Arabidopsis thaliana: one gene and its partner. The main gene of each other region encodes a partner of the protein of the gene in region 2 in a complex. Links are inferred from orthologs where the notes say so. Each region holds a gene or a part of one and is shown on either strand. Other genes may lie near its edges.

Evidence for each region.
Region 1: the proteins of MEE34 (region 2) and RPN10 are in contact, whole or in part, in a cryo-EM structure (PDB 8AMZ), measured with the Spinacia oleracea proteins. The link is inferred for Arabidopsis thaliana from one-to-one orthologs. Residues at the interface, in XP_056695798.1 of Spinacia oleracea: Pro65, Trp76, Phe77, Leu78, Asp79, His80, Asn81, Tyr82; in XP_021862213.1 of Spinacia oleracea: Pro65, Thr66, Ser67, Lys99, His100, Arg101, Gln102.

What each region holds. Positions count from the first base shown.
Region 1 is NC_003075.7:18,055,003-18,062,856, forward strand, and holds RPN10 (regulatory particle non-ATPase 10), read right to left. Parts: upstream 4,597-7,854; 5' UTR 4,458-4,596; coding exon 4,446-4,457; intron 4,365-4,445; coding exon 4,251-4,364; intron 4,157-4,250; coding exon 4,051-4,156; intron 3,924-4,050; coding exon 3,809-3,923; intron 3,730-3,808; coding exon 3,517-3,729; intron 3,306-3,516; coding exon 3,026-3,305; intron 2,942-3,025; coding exon 2,845-2,941; intron 2,762-2,844; coding exon 2,661-2,761; intron 2,563-2,660; coding exon 2,494-2,562; intron 2,409-2,493; coding exon 2,355-2,408; 3' UTR 1,986-2,354; downstream 1-1,985. Other genes in the region: AT4G38640 (Plasma-membrane choline transporter family protein), read right to left, coding at 4,882-5,142, 5,233-5,578, 6,026-7,089. UniProt on the Arabidopsis thaliana protein: Plays a role in maintaining the structural integrity of the 19S regulatory particle (RP), subcomplex of the 26S proteasome.
Region 2 is NC_003074.8:3,525,179-3,533,205, reverse strand, and holds MEE34 (Mov34/MPN/PAD-1 family protein), read right to left. Parts: upstream 4,385-8,027; 5' UTR 4,218-4,384; coding exon 4,031-4,217; intron 3,641-4,030; coding exon 3,548-3,640; intron 3,468-3,547; coding exon 3,386-3,467; intron 3,207-3,385; coding exon 3,110-3,206; intron 2,978-3,109; coding exon 2,902-2,977; intron 2,746-2,901; coding exon 2,687-2,745; intron 2,548-2,686; coding exon 2,425-2,547; intron 2,299-2,424; coding exon 2,241-2,298; intron 2,149-2,240; coding exon 2,063-2,148; intron 1,961-2,062; coding exon 1,889-1,960; 3' UTR 1,482-1,888; downstream 1-1,481. Other genes in the region: WOX5 (WUSCHEL related homeobox 5), read right to left, coding at 4,943-5,187, 5,297-5,600. UniProt on the Arabidopsis thaliana protein: Acts as a regulatory subunit of the 26S proteasome which is involved in the ATP-dependent degradation of ubiquitinated proteins.

The sequences.
Region 1 (7,854 bases), on a different chromosome or scaffold from region 2:
TACAAATTAACTCCATTGGCATAAATATTAAATACCGGATCTAGACGATCGGTGATAAAAATATAGATCATTAGATCGTATAGCTCTATTGTAATTAATTTGTATACGATTAAGATTATCAGTTTATGAGGTAAGATTAGGTTGGTTGCCCAAATAACTCGTTATCCAATGTTGGAGATAAGCCAAATAAGGAGAAAAAAGATTACGAGTATGGCAAAGATACTTGATCACATAATACTTAGATTGTACTGGTATAGATGATACCTTGTTAAGATCTATAATTAAAGATCTAGGAGAAGAACGTGAAACAGAAGATAAATCGAAAATGTTTCATGACAAGTGGAAAGTGAGGTTTGTAGTTAATTTGGCAGGAATAGAAAAGTTGTAAGAGAAGGAGGTAGGAGAAAACTTAAATGTTTTTAAGATAAAAAAAGGAAAGAAAGAGATATGTGAAAAAGAAAAAGAAAATAATGAAAACCATAAATGAAGGAAAGGAAGCAACAACCAATGGACCCTTTCTTCTACCAAACTCTATTTATTTCTCACTACCCATCTCCCTACCAACCTATATACCAACCTTTCCTCATCTTTTGTCCACTTGCAAGCGATCTACATCTGCATACATACATACATACATACATACATACATACATATTACACATGAATGCATAACATACATATACTGTATATCCATATACCACATAATATATTTATGCATGCATGCATATAAAAATTATGTATAGGAGTTTCATTGAATGTAGCCACATGGTTGAATTTAGAAAGAGTAGCGACTCGTAAACTTAAACATTGTTCTATCGTAAGATGCTTGGTAAAATCGGTGTTGTACATGTTCCTTCGTTGATATCCTCTCCTCAACACTACAAAAACCCTCTCTAGCTACTACATTAATTATCATCTCAAATCCCAATAGAGCAGTATATTATTTCCTCGTATATATTTAGATTTAGTTTTAAAATTGATCAAATGGTTATATACTCCAGTTGTGTGTTTGTTTTTTTGTTTTGGCCAAAAATTGGTAAGATCTCAAAAACTGGTATAATCACTTGAGAAATTATATGATCACCAAATGACAAGTTGTTGTCACTAGCACTGGGGCTTGATATATATCATATTCTGATGAAGATACAAACTCAACAATAATGGAATCAATAAGAGTTTTCTCAGGTTGCATCAACTAATGAAACAAATTTAAAGTTGGAAAAAAAAACAAAATCAGTTGAAGTCTAAAATAAAGTTGAGAACGTTTGATTAATTTCGAACATCGAGATTTAACAGTGGTTGGGTAAATATTATGAAAGTGAAGGAATAACAAAAAAAAACATGTAGAAGTTGATAGAGGAGGATGATATTTTGGAAATGAAAGAGATGGGAGAGGAGGAGTGGTGAGAACTGAAGATAAGGAAAAAGGGGAAAAGGACAAAAGGATGACCACACACACAGACACAAGTGAACAAAGACAGACGCACCTGCCTCCTCTTCCTTCTTCTTTCTAATATTATTCATTTTCATTTGTAAAGAAACGACTTTTTCAAAAGGTGTTAGGTAGATGCAATAGAAGCTTCTATCAGTTTTTCTTCTTTCTTTTTTTTTATGTTATAGTTTGTGAGTCTTGTGACTCTTTTTGTCTTTCCCTTTCTTGCTCTAAAAGGGAACAAAGAAATTTCGTCACTAATAAGTTTCCCCAATAAAAAGTCTTTAACGATAGTCATATTTAGCAATTCAATTTGTTTGTGTAGCATAGTTTACACGTACGTAGATGATCAAAACTACAGCTCGCATGTGGCAATTAGCAGACAAATACACATATCTTGGGATAAATATAAATTAAATAATGCAAATAGATTGCAATTAGCAGACTAATAAGCGCATATAAAAATTAGATTGCAAAGAACAAAAAAACGAGCCAACAGTAGAACAAAGGAATTAAGTACCTAACTGCCACGTGGGACTTTAATTACTTGGAGAAAAACATAACTTCGCAGAAATGTGAGCAAAATTTAATTACCAATGTAGACTTTTTGCACTGTCGTAAGAATATTTCAGATTTGACACTTGTGCAAGGTTCATTACGAATTTAGGACTCGCTATTCTACTGAATTGATCGAGAGACCTGTAACAAATAGGCTTACTTTCTAAGAGCCCATTGACATAAAGTCCAATAAAAATTAAGAAGGAAGCTAGTCCTTGACTCGTACAATAACAACATTATAAAAAGGCGAGAGAGAGAGAAAAAAACAAATTTCACAAGGCAGAGAGATTAGTTAAATTCAGTTCCAATCTCTATCAAACCAAAGAAACAAGAGGAATTTTTATTGAGACTCTCAGATCCTTCTTCACTTCTTCTCATCCTCGCCTTTTTTGCTACTACTCTCTTCCTCCTCGGTACGCTGTCATTTTAACCATATACATTTATCAGAATCTTCTTTTTCAAATAACAAAAAGATGTAATCATAAACATCAACAAAGACACACCTTTGACTCGTCTGGCAGAGACGCTAGTAGTTCTTTAACTGCCGGATCATTTGGATCCACCCCAGGAAGCTGCGTGTACACAAAGTCTTAGTACCAAAGCTAACCCTACTACTTTTCTCTTTCATTTTGCTTGTGAAAAAAACTGACTAAGGTTTATGTAGGCTTACCGATGAGAGAACAGACGATATGAAGGCTTGATTTCCCAAGAGGTTGTTTCCAGCACCTGTAGCTTCACTTGACTCTTCCCCACTCATTGACATTTGCAGAGCTGCACATGGAGTATAAAAAAATATAAGAAAAATGCCAATTTTGATTGCCATGGATATACTTTTACCACACTGTTCTACTTACCTAAAGCCAGATCCTGGTCCTCATCAGCCGCTTCTGACATATTCACATCACCAACAGACATAGCAATTGCCTGATCTAGCAACGCACTGTCCTCATCCTGCCACAAAAGGTTGTATGATTAACAATCTCTCCGCCTGTGACTATATAAGAATGCTACACTCAATTTTAAGTAACAACTAACCATTGGTTCAGCGTTCTTGTCAGTTGTCCTAGCAACTGTCTCCTGTGAGGCGGAAGCTGTGTCCCCATCTTTGTCTTTCTGACCTGCCTCATCGGCCGCCTTCTTGGCAGCAGCTTCTTGTCTTGCTCTCTCCTCCTCCATGGAGACCCGAAGGGCAAGAGCAAGTTCTGGATCGATATTTGGGTCCACACCAAAGTCGAAGTCCCCACCTGCGGCCGCTGCAGCAGCTGCCGCAGAAACATAGCCACTTGCACCCTCATCACCCGTGAATACAGGTGTGCTGGAAGAAAATTTAAAAGTTAAAACACTATCTATGATTCAAATCACTGTCTAAATGTTTTGTTGCAGCATTGATAAAAAGCAAGACTAGAGAGCTCAAAAGACCTAAACACACAAAACCACATGAAGTGCACCTACCAAGCCGGATATTGTTGAAACTGTTCCTTTTACAATCTACATAACCTAGAAAAAAAGAAGAAAAGGGATGGTACCTGAGAAGCACATCTGAGAGAGCATTGGCTCCAGAAGGAACATGAACAATGTGGCTACCGTCATTGTTATTCACAGCTGTAAGGAGCGCCTCGAGTTTCTGAGGCTTTTCCTCATCATCATCCTCCCCGAAATTGACAATATCAAGAGAGACACTATTCTTCTTCAGCCTTTTTCCAACTATCTCTAGGGCCTTCTTCTCGTACTTGATTGGACTAAAAAGTAGAAGCAGAAGAAAAACATCAGTATAAAACTATACAAAAGTTACTCAGCAAAAACAAAGCAATTCGGTACCTTCCAGCAAAAACAATAATCCTTTGGCGTTGATTCTTGTTTTGGCGATGCTTAAGAGCTAGCTGGGCGATCTGGATAGCTGCGGTTAAGTTGATCTCTCCTCCCACATCAAGGCCTGAAAAGATGACGCAAGTAGCAAATTGATGTCAAACTCAATGATAAAGAGAAAGAACAGATTTTTTCTAATTGCTCTAAGTAGACAGCTAATAATAAATAGAAAGATTGGAGAGAGAGATACATACCGTGCATACAGGCCAGAATTTTGCCAAGATCAGAGGTAGGAGTAGTCAATACTCTAACTCCTTTGCCAGCCATTGTCAAAATCCCCACCGTATTCTCCGGATTCGACTGCAATTGCAAAAAAGAAAGATCCCTAAAAATCACAATCTCACGCAAACCCAAAAACCCTAATCGAATCAAGTGAAAAAACGTAAATTATTACCTGGGTTTTGGCTCCGCAAAGAAGATTAACAGCTTCCGTTTGCGCCTGTAACCTAGACGGAGAGTAATCTCCGTTTCGCATCCACTCGGAGTTGTCGATACATATCATAGTCGCCTACAACAAGAAATCATCGATGAGAAAAAGCATTCAACGTGGATCATCAACGAAGATAAGCACAAGTAATTGGAAAATCACCTCGAGAACCATCGTGTCGATAAGCAGAGAGAAGCTTCAAAAATTCTGTCGTAGAGAGAAAGTCAGGAAGGCAAGATTTAGATTTTAGTTTAGACCGATAATAATAACATTGTTCTTCTTTAAATATCCCCTTTACTTTTTTACTTTCTCCTTTTAGACCCTAATGTTTTACGTTTATTTCAATTTAGCCCCAATGGTTGTTTTTGATAAAAAGCAAAACAAAGTTGATTTATTAATGAATAAAAGAAACACAGACCACATTACAGTAATTCCTATAACTAAAGTCTTTCTTTTATTCAACATTGTTACCCCATAACTCTACAAAACATCAATATAAACCCCAAGAAGACAAACCACAGTTCACCAGAGAGGAATTTACAACGGTGCTAACAAACAAAAAAAGATACAACAAGCAGAGACGTTGGATCATCTTCTGCTATGCATTAAGAGCATTTGGGATGAGAGAAGATCTTGTGCTTCTGCTGATAGGCAAGTGAACATAAACCTCGTGAACTTCCTGCTTACATACATCCCCTTTGTCTCTATCAATCGCGTAACAGACATAGATTGTGTCAATCACATCGTCAAGAACATGTACAAAGAAAGCCAATATCACAATCAGTAACACCCACGCCAGTACAGCCACCACGTACGAATCTATACCCAGGTTGCTCACTCCTCTCAGAACAGCCCATGTCTGCTTTTGCGCATCATCAAACCCCGGAATTAGTCATTATGGCAATTATTAAATGCTTGGTTGGTGAGACAAGCAGAAGATAATACTTACCGCGACTGCATATGCGGCTGACAGGACAAAGACTATTCCGGTTAGGATTCTGGTGGAAACCGTTTCGACAAATACAGCTGACAGTAGGTTGCGTCTTAACAGCTCGTAAGTCATTTTCGCAGAGGTGCAATACGCTTCCCCTGTTATTGCAGCAAAGTTGATGGTGAACTTGTTGAGATAGTCAAGGGCACCAAGTAAGGCGTTTGCACAGCAACGGAGAACCATGTTCACTATTCCTTGTGTGTTCTCTTCTCTTGCATTGTCCACAATTGCCCGGACCACACGAACAATGCATATGAGAAGTCCTGATACACATATCGTACCAAAGGATTGACCAAATGCATTCCTGAAGAGACAGATACAAAAAATAATAAGATTCACACATGCTTTGACATAAACCAACAACAGATTTGAAGACTAATGCAAATTTGGATCCTCAAAGCTATAATCTCCTTTCAAAAATACCACTGTCTGTTGTCTCTTTTCACATTTAAAGTACCAAACAAGTTCAGATGATGGATTCCAATACAATATCCAATCTATAAGGCCAAGACTATGAATACCATGACCTAGAATCACTGAATACTCCAGAACGAAGCCAAGCAAGGGATACTTCGAATGACCATAGATTATATTTTATGAGGAAACAAAACTAAGAGAACTCAAAGCAAAAACTCCCGCGATCACACAAAACATATATTAGAACTAAGAGCACCATTGATTGTAAGAGAAACTGCACAGCAAATTCATTGATAACAAGAATAAAATAGAGAAAGATGTGGCAGCGAGTCACCTCAAAGAACTCCGGATGCATTTTTTAGGGATTGAGTCTTCCTTGGAGAAATACCACTGAGCAATAGCTCCACTTATCACATACACTTGCATTTCCACCATTACAGCAAGAGACCAGATCATCGTTAAAATGGCAAGAGCGTAATACGCAGGAACCCAAGAATCTTCTTTCCACTCACAAAAGTACTGACCATCCAACTCTCGCGGCACAAACTTCCCATTAAACCTTGCAAACACCAAGAACACCACAATCGGCGCATAGTACACCACTAACCCGAGAGTCAGCAGCGGCAGCACAACAAAAAGTTTCAAATTTTTGGACAAGGCATCAGATGCAACACTGATGATTTGGATAGTAAGATCAATTCTGTGCCAATTAGCTACTATGATCCAGACAATGATCCCGATGATCAAGAAAACAAAGACTAGGACAAGTATTCTGTAAGCTAGAGGGAGGGCATCGCTACAAGAAGAGCTAAGAGTACAGGCGACAAACCAATAGACATTGAAAAAGATGGGAAAAAGGACAAAGAGAGGTAAACAAGCATAAACAATCTGCTTAGTGTAGTGTTTGAGCAAAAGCAGGACGCTAAAACAGAAGGGCACGCTTAAAATAAGCGTTACAACAAGTGTCCAGATCAAATCCTTCTCAAAGACTGGATCAGACGAAGAAACCATGCCGTACATGACACTCGAAGAAGCCCAGTAGTACCCATCCGAAATTTTCGTAAAGGTAGAATTTTTGACGCAGGAGCTAGAGGTGAAATCGTAGGTGAAGGAAGAGGAGTTCCCGTAATCGTTATTTCTATGAAAAATGGAGAAGATTCCAAAACCAAAGGTGGAGAGTACGAGAAGATCGAAGAGAAGTAGGAAAGGGATGTCCTTGAAAGTTCTTGGGCCAAAATTGTAGGAGATCTGAAGAAACTGAGTTGGGTCGGATTCGGGATCACTTCGACGCGGAGAATCGAGAGCGGACGTGGAGGGTTTAGAGAGAAGAGGGTGTGACGGAGAGGATGAGTCGTAGATTGCAGCGAATTTAGTGGGGTCGCCGTCGTCCGCCGCCATGGTCGTCCACAGAGAGAGAAGAAAGCTCCGCCTCTGGAGCTAAATGATGAAGAAGCTTAAGCAGAAGCAGAAGACGACGAAACTCAATTTAGCATTTTTTCTTAATCACAATAATTAATTAGTGACGATGCCGACGACCACCGCCCAAGCGGCCAAGCGAAGATGATCCAAGATCTCGCCACCACAATGCTCAAATTTAATTCGTTGATTAGTCACGTATACAGGTATTATACCGTCCAAAGGAGTATTATTATCTTCATGTGCATTAAAATATTAGTATAGTTTCTTTTACCAGTATTAAAAGAAAAATTCACGAAGACATTGAGACGGGCTTCGAAGAAAGTCTGATAAGAGAATTCTCAAAGCCCAACTAGCCGTATTAAAGCCCAAATCATCGCATGCAAGAGTAATAGTCCTAACTCCTAAGGAGCGTGTGACTGCATCACAAGGGCAGATACGTTTGTTAACTTGGGCCCAATTGTCACTTGTAAAGCTAAATCTTTGAAATCTTTTGAGAGTTTAAACTTTAAAGATATGAAATTTAGCTAAATTCGTACAAATTTATATCCAAATGTTGACAACAACGTAATCTAAAAATGCATAGACGACAATATTGGTTTCCCTTTGTATCAACTAACAAAATTAATTTTTAAAATTTTGGTGGTTCTTTAGTTATGGTAATTGGTTCCTTTTGTATTGTTTTCCAAATATTTGAGTTCTATAAAATAAGAAATTAAAAACATTAGTACAAAATCTTGTAAATTT
Region 2 (8,027 bases):
CACAATATATCTATTTTATGGTGTTAAATGCAAATTATAAAGATATACTGTAATAAAGACTTAAAGAGATTAAAAAAAAAAAAAAGACTCAAAGAGATCAAACACCACACAAAAATGAGAAATTTGTGAAACATGTTTTGGGTTAGATTTATTTAAGAAGATGGCTATAGTATAGTTTTAAATATTGAGTAAAGTTTTGGTGGAAGGTATGAAGAATTGATTTGAGTATAAAATAGAGGCTGAGTCTGCTTTCCACTTCTGACCAAAGAACCTCATTCTTCTCATCTATTACACCAACCTCCTGACTCATATATATATTAACGTATTTAGAATTACGTATAATGGTGTCATTTGTATAAAAAACATATATGAATGAAATGTTTATTTTATTTTTTAATCATTTGGTGCCCCAATCTAAACACTGCTCACATTTGAATTATGCAACTTGAAATAACTTTGATAAATTTATATTGAAACAACTTTGAAATATTATTTATCACAGTTCATATGCAAAGTTGGACCAAAGGCTACACTTAATCAAGCAATAGTTTTATCATAGTTCATATTCAAAGAAATCGGATTTAATAGATTTCCATATCTTATTCTATATGTATTAGATGAATCTTGATCATCAATTGTGACATATGCTACTGCAATTTGCGAGTCCTATTTCGGATAAAGAAAACAAAGTAGTTTTTCCTTTCTTGCAACTTTATGGCTTTATTTCTTTTGCCACCCTTTTGTTATTTTGTCACTTTCGATCTGGTCGCTTCGATGGGATCTACATGCCTTACACTGATGTACCAATATCAAAAAACATTCAATGTTCTTACGTCATACGTGCATTACTATATACTATACAGTATACACTATTTTATGACTAAGATTTGCGATGCTGATAACTTTGAGAACAACAGGATGCAAAATTTAAAGTGAAATTACGTACAATTGTTACATCTTTTCCATAGCAAAGTTATAAGGACATATTCTAGAAAATTGTTGAATAACAATTATAAAATGATAATTGTGATAATTCTTTGTAAAACTGATGTATTTAAATATGTCAAATAATTCATCATCAAAAGTTGCATGTATTATTACGATACCGACATATACCGTGAGTACAAACATCATAAAGAAGATTGAACAATAAAATAAGAAGGAGAAACGTCGAGAAGCTTTGCGACTTAAGGCTAAATCCTTCCTAATCATGAACATATTTTATGTAAACGACAAAACTTAATTTATAATCTTTGTTCATTTTGTTATCAAGAAGAAAGAAAATGTTCTTCGAAAGTAGGCTTAAAAGCATAATGCGTAACAAAGCACGTTCATGATTTCATAATTTCAAAATTTCCGCTTATCATCATATCCTTTTCACGAAGCTTACGCCACTAGTGTGACCTTTATTTGCCTTCAACACCTCTTTATTTTTTTTGGCGGCCCTTCAATATATCTTTTATTTTTCTAGTTTTCAATTTTCATGACAAAATCTTCTTCCTTTATTCCTCTATCAATGTGAACACACGTTCACACACTTTGTTTTGATAACATTTTTATAACCCCGGACTAGATCTCTACACATCCGATGTATACGAATCTAATTTAGTGATTTTCTAAATTTTAAACTATGGTAAGTGTTATCTTCTATGACTTGATTGCCTTGAAGATCAGAATTAGGGAAACTAGAAATAAAAATCGATGAAAAAAGAATCTTTGGAGACAGAAACGACATACTAATAACAACCATTGTAGAAACAACAGTAATAGAAGATCATCGGAACGAGACCAAACCCGTTTTGTTCCCCTACAGACCCTCTTCACATGCAGCAAATGACAGAGTAACATCCGATTAAATATCTTCCCAAAGCTCGAAATTTGGCTGCATTTAACTCTCAGTGATTAAGGGTATGTCAACAGGCTTTGAGTCCTCTGCTTTTTCATGTTCCTTATTCAACAACTGAAACATAGCATCCACAGATTAACAAAACAAATTTTGCATAGAGCAAATTCAAATCAATCACCTACTAGAGAGAAATAGAGAGATGATGGTCTATCTTACCTTGTTGTTGATCAAACTGTGGAGGGCGATTACACTTCGGATAAGCGAAGAAAGGTAGATTACGAGCATCATGTCATTTGTTTTTACTGTACAAAATGAATAAAGTTAGGAAAAAAAAAAGAGTTCAAATGAGAGAAACCCTGTGCGAACATAAAACTTCAAGGAAGAAAAAGCAAACCTGCAAAGGCTTTAACCAACTCGTTGACGTTCAAGTTAGGAAGCAAGTTGAATACGTCCTACAGATTTGCAAAAGAGTATTCAATTTAGCTGAATAATCCTTACTAGCAGTCACGGATACTGAGAAAAAAACAAACACGAAAACCAGTTTGATTCTACTAGTCAACTACAATTAAAAGTGTTACCTGAAGATGGTATAAGATTTCATGGTTTAATGGGAGTTTTCCTTCGATTACAAGGTCAAGGTAAGTCCGGATCTCCCGAAGTCGTGCATCCAATCCCTTCAGAGCAGTAAGTTTCGCAGTGACCTGAAATACAGTTCACAAATAATTTCAGTTTCCTCAATATATGTTCCTCACATTTTGTTTTGAGAGCAACAATCATGATTTGAATAAACATTAAGAAGCTTGATGATGAAATGTTTAAGTTATGTGTGAAGAAAATAACCTCAGTTGCCAAGGTACTGATGGTTGTGTCTTTTACATCCCTGAGCAAATGTTCCACACCTGTTCAAGACCAACCAACTGGCGTAAGCGAAGCAAGAAGGACTCCATTGAGTTTCCTCGGAAGCATTTACAAAAAAAAAAATTCCCTCATCATTCTTATGCTCTGAAATAAGGAAATCAAACTATCAAAGGATTTGTTTCCCCATGTAGACATACCAATTTCCTCAACTTCATGAGCTGCAATTTCTGTAGGCACGTGTACAAAAACCTGTTGGCTTTTCTGGGTAGCATTCTGCAGAGAGAGAAGTTCGGATCAAGGCAATTAGATATATGGATATAACTAATGCAGAAAGTAAATCAAGTATGTCAGATGCAACTTAACAGTCGAGCAAGTAAAATGGTTAGAAAATTGGCTGGTATTTACCTCTTTCACCTCCTCAACCGCATAGTATGCTTTTGTGGGGATTCCAAGTTCTTTAGGTTGGACATCAATAATGACCAACACTGGATTTGGAACGTAGCTGCAACACCAGAAACTAAGATTAAAACCGAAGTAATACAGAAATAAGGTCTAGCAAGAGAGGAGAGATAGATTGTGAATGCTTTAAAACGTTTGTACATATATAACTTAAACAGACCACCAAACCATATATTAGATTAGACCATCATATCTCATATTTTAGACTGATTTTGGTCTTACCCATTGAATAAAGCGTGAACATCCAAATCATTCTCTCGAAGTTTAGGACCTGTGCTGTACCAACCCACAATATGCTCCTTAGCTGAAAGCAAATATGAAAATCAGTCAAAAAAGAGGCTTTCCACATATATACTCTTAAGCATTATATTTCCCGAGCAATACCATTAATTCTCTTGAACATGTGAAACATCGACTCGTGGTAGTTGTGATCAAGAAACCATATGCTTGTGTCTTTGTCATCCTCCTCAAAAGGCACTGTAAAACCACAAACAAAAAGTCAAACAAGTGATGTGCAAGTAACAACAACGCACTTATGAACATGCTCACAGTGTAATGTACTGTGCAAAATCAAATGAAATCTGTTTCATTCTCTAAGAAATTAACTCAACCACCATATTATACTCATCACTCCAATATGGAATTAGGCCACTAGGACCAAGTTTGACTGAATCCAAGTATCACACAACGATTTTAAAAGTAAGACAATTTTGCAACCCAAAAGCTAAAAAAAACTAAACTTAAGTAAATTTTCAGACAAGAACACTAAACATATTGAATTATGAGATTAGCAAGAGCTTAACAAACTTTCAGAGATCTGTGAGATCGAAGAGAACAAAGAGAAAGGAAAAAGTAAAATCAAGGCACCTGCGTAGCTGTTGGTGACGTCAACAGTACCACGAGAGCTACTTCCGAGCAAAACGCCGACGACGCGCTTGCTCGTGTCCTTGGCTACACGATTGTAATGGTCGACGATACTAAGCAAGACAAGTGGGTGAACGATCACTTTCTCGATTGTCCTTGCCGATATTTGTTGCGTCTTTATAACATCCATTGTTGGGTTAATCAAATTCGCTTGAGTAATTCTAAATTTCTTTCTCCGGGAATGATCAAAACCTCAACTTTTGATTCCGTTTTATCTCCGACGGAACTTGAGTTTGCTTCTTCTCCAGGAAAACCCCTTTAATTAATCTTCTCTAGGCACTATGGGTTTAACCAAAGTTTGGGCCTTCTCTGTATTATAAAGCCCAATTATATGGGCCTAAAAGACAATGGGTCTGGGTAAAATAATATTAAGGATATTAATCTGTTCGTTTAAAAGAGTTGGTTTTATTCTGATAAGATTGTGCAAGTTTTTTGGTCTAATGGTTGTTGATCAAGACTTAAGTATTTCGAGATGATGTAAATTTTGTAAATTGATAGAGATAAGTTTTAAGTTTGTTTTTTTAACATCTTTTAAGTTTTAAGTTTATCTGATATTTCTAGTATTTCTGTGATGCAAATAGAACTATTCGTTAATGATGTCTTTCTTAAATTATTTTTAAAAAATATAGAAAAATACATTAACAAATCACAACCTTAGTTATATGATGATATACATATACGCATTCCATAACATAGATTCTTATATCAAACAAAATGAGACAACTTTTTGATAAACCATGCATTGGAAAATATCTCATAAACCATGCATCGGATAATATGTCATAATTCAAAATACAACAACATTTTAAAGGCTAAAGCATCTGTTTTTTTTCTTTTGTTATTGTGGTCAATGACTTAAAGAAAGCTTAATCGAAGATCTAATGGCGGTGGATGTTCCATTTCAGCTCCACATGATGAGTATGGAGAAAACGACGTCGTGGTGGTCTCTCGAATATATTCACGGTACTGGTTATTGCCTCTAGCTCTCATTTTGTCCACCTTGGAGTTGGAGTCTTCAAATGAATTCACCGGAAAGAGTTGTAATGTCTCTATCACCTTCTCTTCCTCTTGACAATCTTCTTCGCTTATTTCAAAAACATCTATAATAACACACTATTATCCATTAAATATATAGAAATATCATATAAAACAATAATGATATATAATTATATATATATATATATATATATATATATATAAAGAGACTACCTCTAGTTGATGGTTGATGATGATGATGATCAAAATCAATGGAGATTTTACGACGTTTCTGCCTCTCCCTAGCCTTATGATTCTGAAACCAATAGAAAACATTCTTGCTCTCTATCTTGCCGTAGAAACTGAGCTCCGTAGAGATCTTCTGAATCTGATCAGTTGTTGGAGTTCTAAGACCGGCTCGAAACAGATCAGTCAATATCTTCAACTGCTCCACCGTTGGATTCCATCTCCCGCACTTCGTCCCCGTTCCTCCGTTATTGTTGCCACGTAAGCTTCGACCTTTCACGGAGAAAGACATGTTCAGATGTAAAGTCCTCAACTGTTTTACGTTTTAGGGCCTGTGTATATATCCATATATATAGTAAGATTGTTCATAATAATTTATTAAGTTTTCATCTTTTCGAAAATAAAAAGAGAAATGAATTGATGAAATGTCGGGAGGAGAGGTTTTCGAGTTATGTGTCGTTTTATGATGAGTTGTTTATTACGAAATGCATGCTTTGTTTTTTTTGGGGATTTGGGAGAGACTGATCTTTGCAGATTTGATCGTTTTCTTTATCCTAACCTATCTAGGCTTCTGTTCCATCTATATTTACATATGTTTTTGTGTGTATATATTAGTATATAATTGGATCTCGCATTCATGCCATGGCATGCATAAGTTGTATATCGGAACCAGCGATTGAAACATTGAATTTGTTCTCCTTTAATTTGTGGTGACTCGCACACACTTAAATTGCGTTCTACGTAATTTCTTACTATTCATATAACATGATAAGAATAATCAGAAAGCCTTGGTGGTAATGTACTATCTAGTGTCAATATTTTAACGTTCGATATTGTAACTTCAATGCTTCAACTATTCCAAATTATGACACTAGAAATTTTACATTCACTTTCTTTTTTTTGTATTTGTTTTGAAGTTAGAAGTTCTTTACAAATTGTAGATCTAATCTGTAATCAATAATAAGTTGAAATAGCTAGCAAGTCCTAAACAAAGATTGTATGCAATTACATTATTGAGACGGATGGATGGCCGATATTAGTTTGATATGAATGAAGATGATAAGATTAATTATAAACATCATGACATTGTGTGAACAGATTGTAGTTTTGTCTCTCTTGCACAGAAGATGTGACACTTGAGGAACGTTGGTCGGCAAGTGTAGACAGGAAATTTGAAATTTTATTCTCTTTTATAAGAAAATATAATATTACAAAATCAAATATCTGAATTCTGAATCATAAAAAACTACAAAAAGAAAAGGCATTTAATAGATAGAACCAGAAGGTTCGCCACACACATGTATAATATAAGTCCTACACCAAAATATTTGTAAAAAGCCATTTATTAAGTCACCAAGAACTCCTTCTAGAATGAAGAATGGTTGAAAGATGACTGCAAGATGTAAAAATAATTTTAACCATCAATAAAAGTATAAACTCATAGTGTTTTACTAGCCTCTATATGCTATCACGTCAATTAGATCTGATTTTTGAAATCTGAAAATGAGACAGCAGCAATAGTAACATAAATCATGCATTATACTGTAAATGCTTTGGTCAAAAATTTATTTCTTAGTTAAAATCTAACTGCATTCTAGTATATAACCTGCGACCGAAAAAATATTTCACTTTTAAGCGTACAACTCATACATGCCTCAGTTTTAACAATATACAATCCAGCTCTTATAATTTTGCATAGTCTAGTTGTTTGTACAAGAAACTTATTGATGTCTATATGAACAGTACGTATGACACCAGCAGAAATAGAAAGGAAAAACTTATAATATTCATGTAGTGTGCGTTAAAATGTCTTAATAGTGAGGATTTAGATGAGACATGCACGGGATGCTAAGCAAGACGAAAATGGTCCAAATAATAAAATGACAATGTGAATAAAACCAAACATTGTTTTTATAAACAAAGTACTCTTCACTAGACAACATAACAGTACTTACAAATATCTTTGTCTCTCTCGCATATAAACTGCATCTTGTTTTTAAAATTGATCAATTCGGTGTCAAAGTCAAAGTTCACGTGGCTTATGTTACTTGGAATCATCCCAGTTAATTTACATAACATCTTTGTTTAATTACAAATTTCTTACAGAATATCTCATTACCTACTCTCGAGTCTAACTAAATAAGTAGATTTTTGGATTTAATTCGGTTTAGAGAAACTTTATGACTTAGATTTGTTAGATATATAGAAAAAAGTGGCATGCACCCAGCACCCAATTAGTCATCAATTACTGGTACTGGATGATAAAACAGTTGTGAGTTGTACATTAAAAAGTTAAAGATAGCATGTCGTGGATTTGAGATATCAAAACTCTCGTATTGGATGCCCCCAAACATATCATATACTTTGTTTTTTTGCAATATTCTTTTTTGTTGTTGTGATATATGCTTTTATACAACATTCACTACTTTGCATAGTTTTTTGGGTTGTTTTTTTCTTTCTTTTTACACAAGTCCGGGTTCCAAGTTTTGGGAACCTCAAAAAGCAACCTTGGTTTCTAATTTTAAGTTTATGATGACTATTAGTATTAAAAAAAATTAGCGAGAGAGCAATCAATCAACCCGTTTGTGTTAATGCAATGGAAACCTATGGAAGGTTTTTTTTCTTTCTATAAACACCTATGGACGTTGTCTAGCCTTAATGGACAACACTCTTGATTTAAGTAACTGCTGAGACAACTTTTCGAACAAAAAGTTGAGCT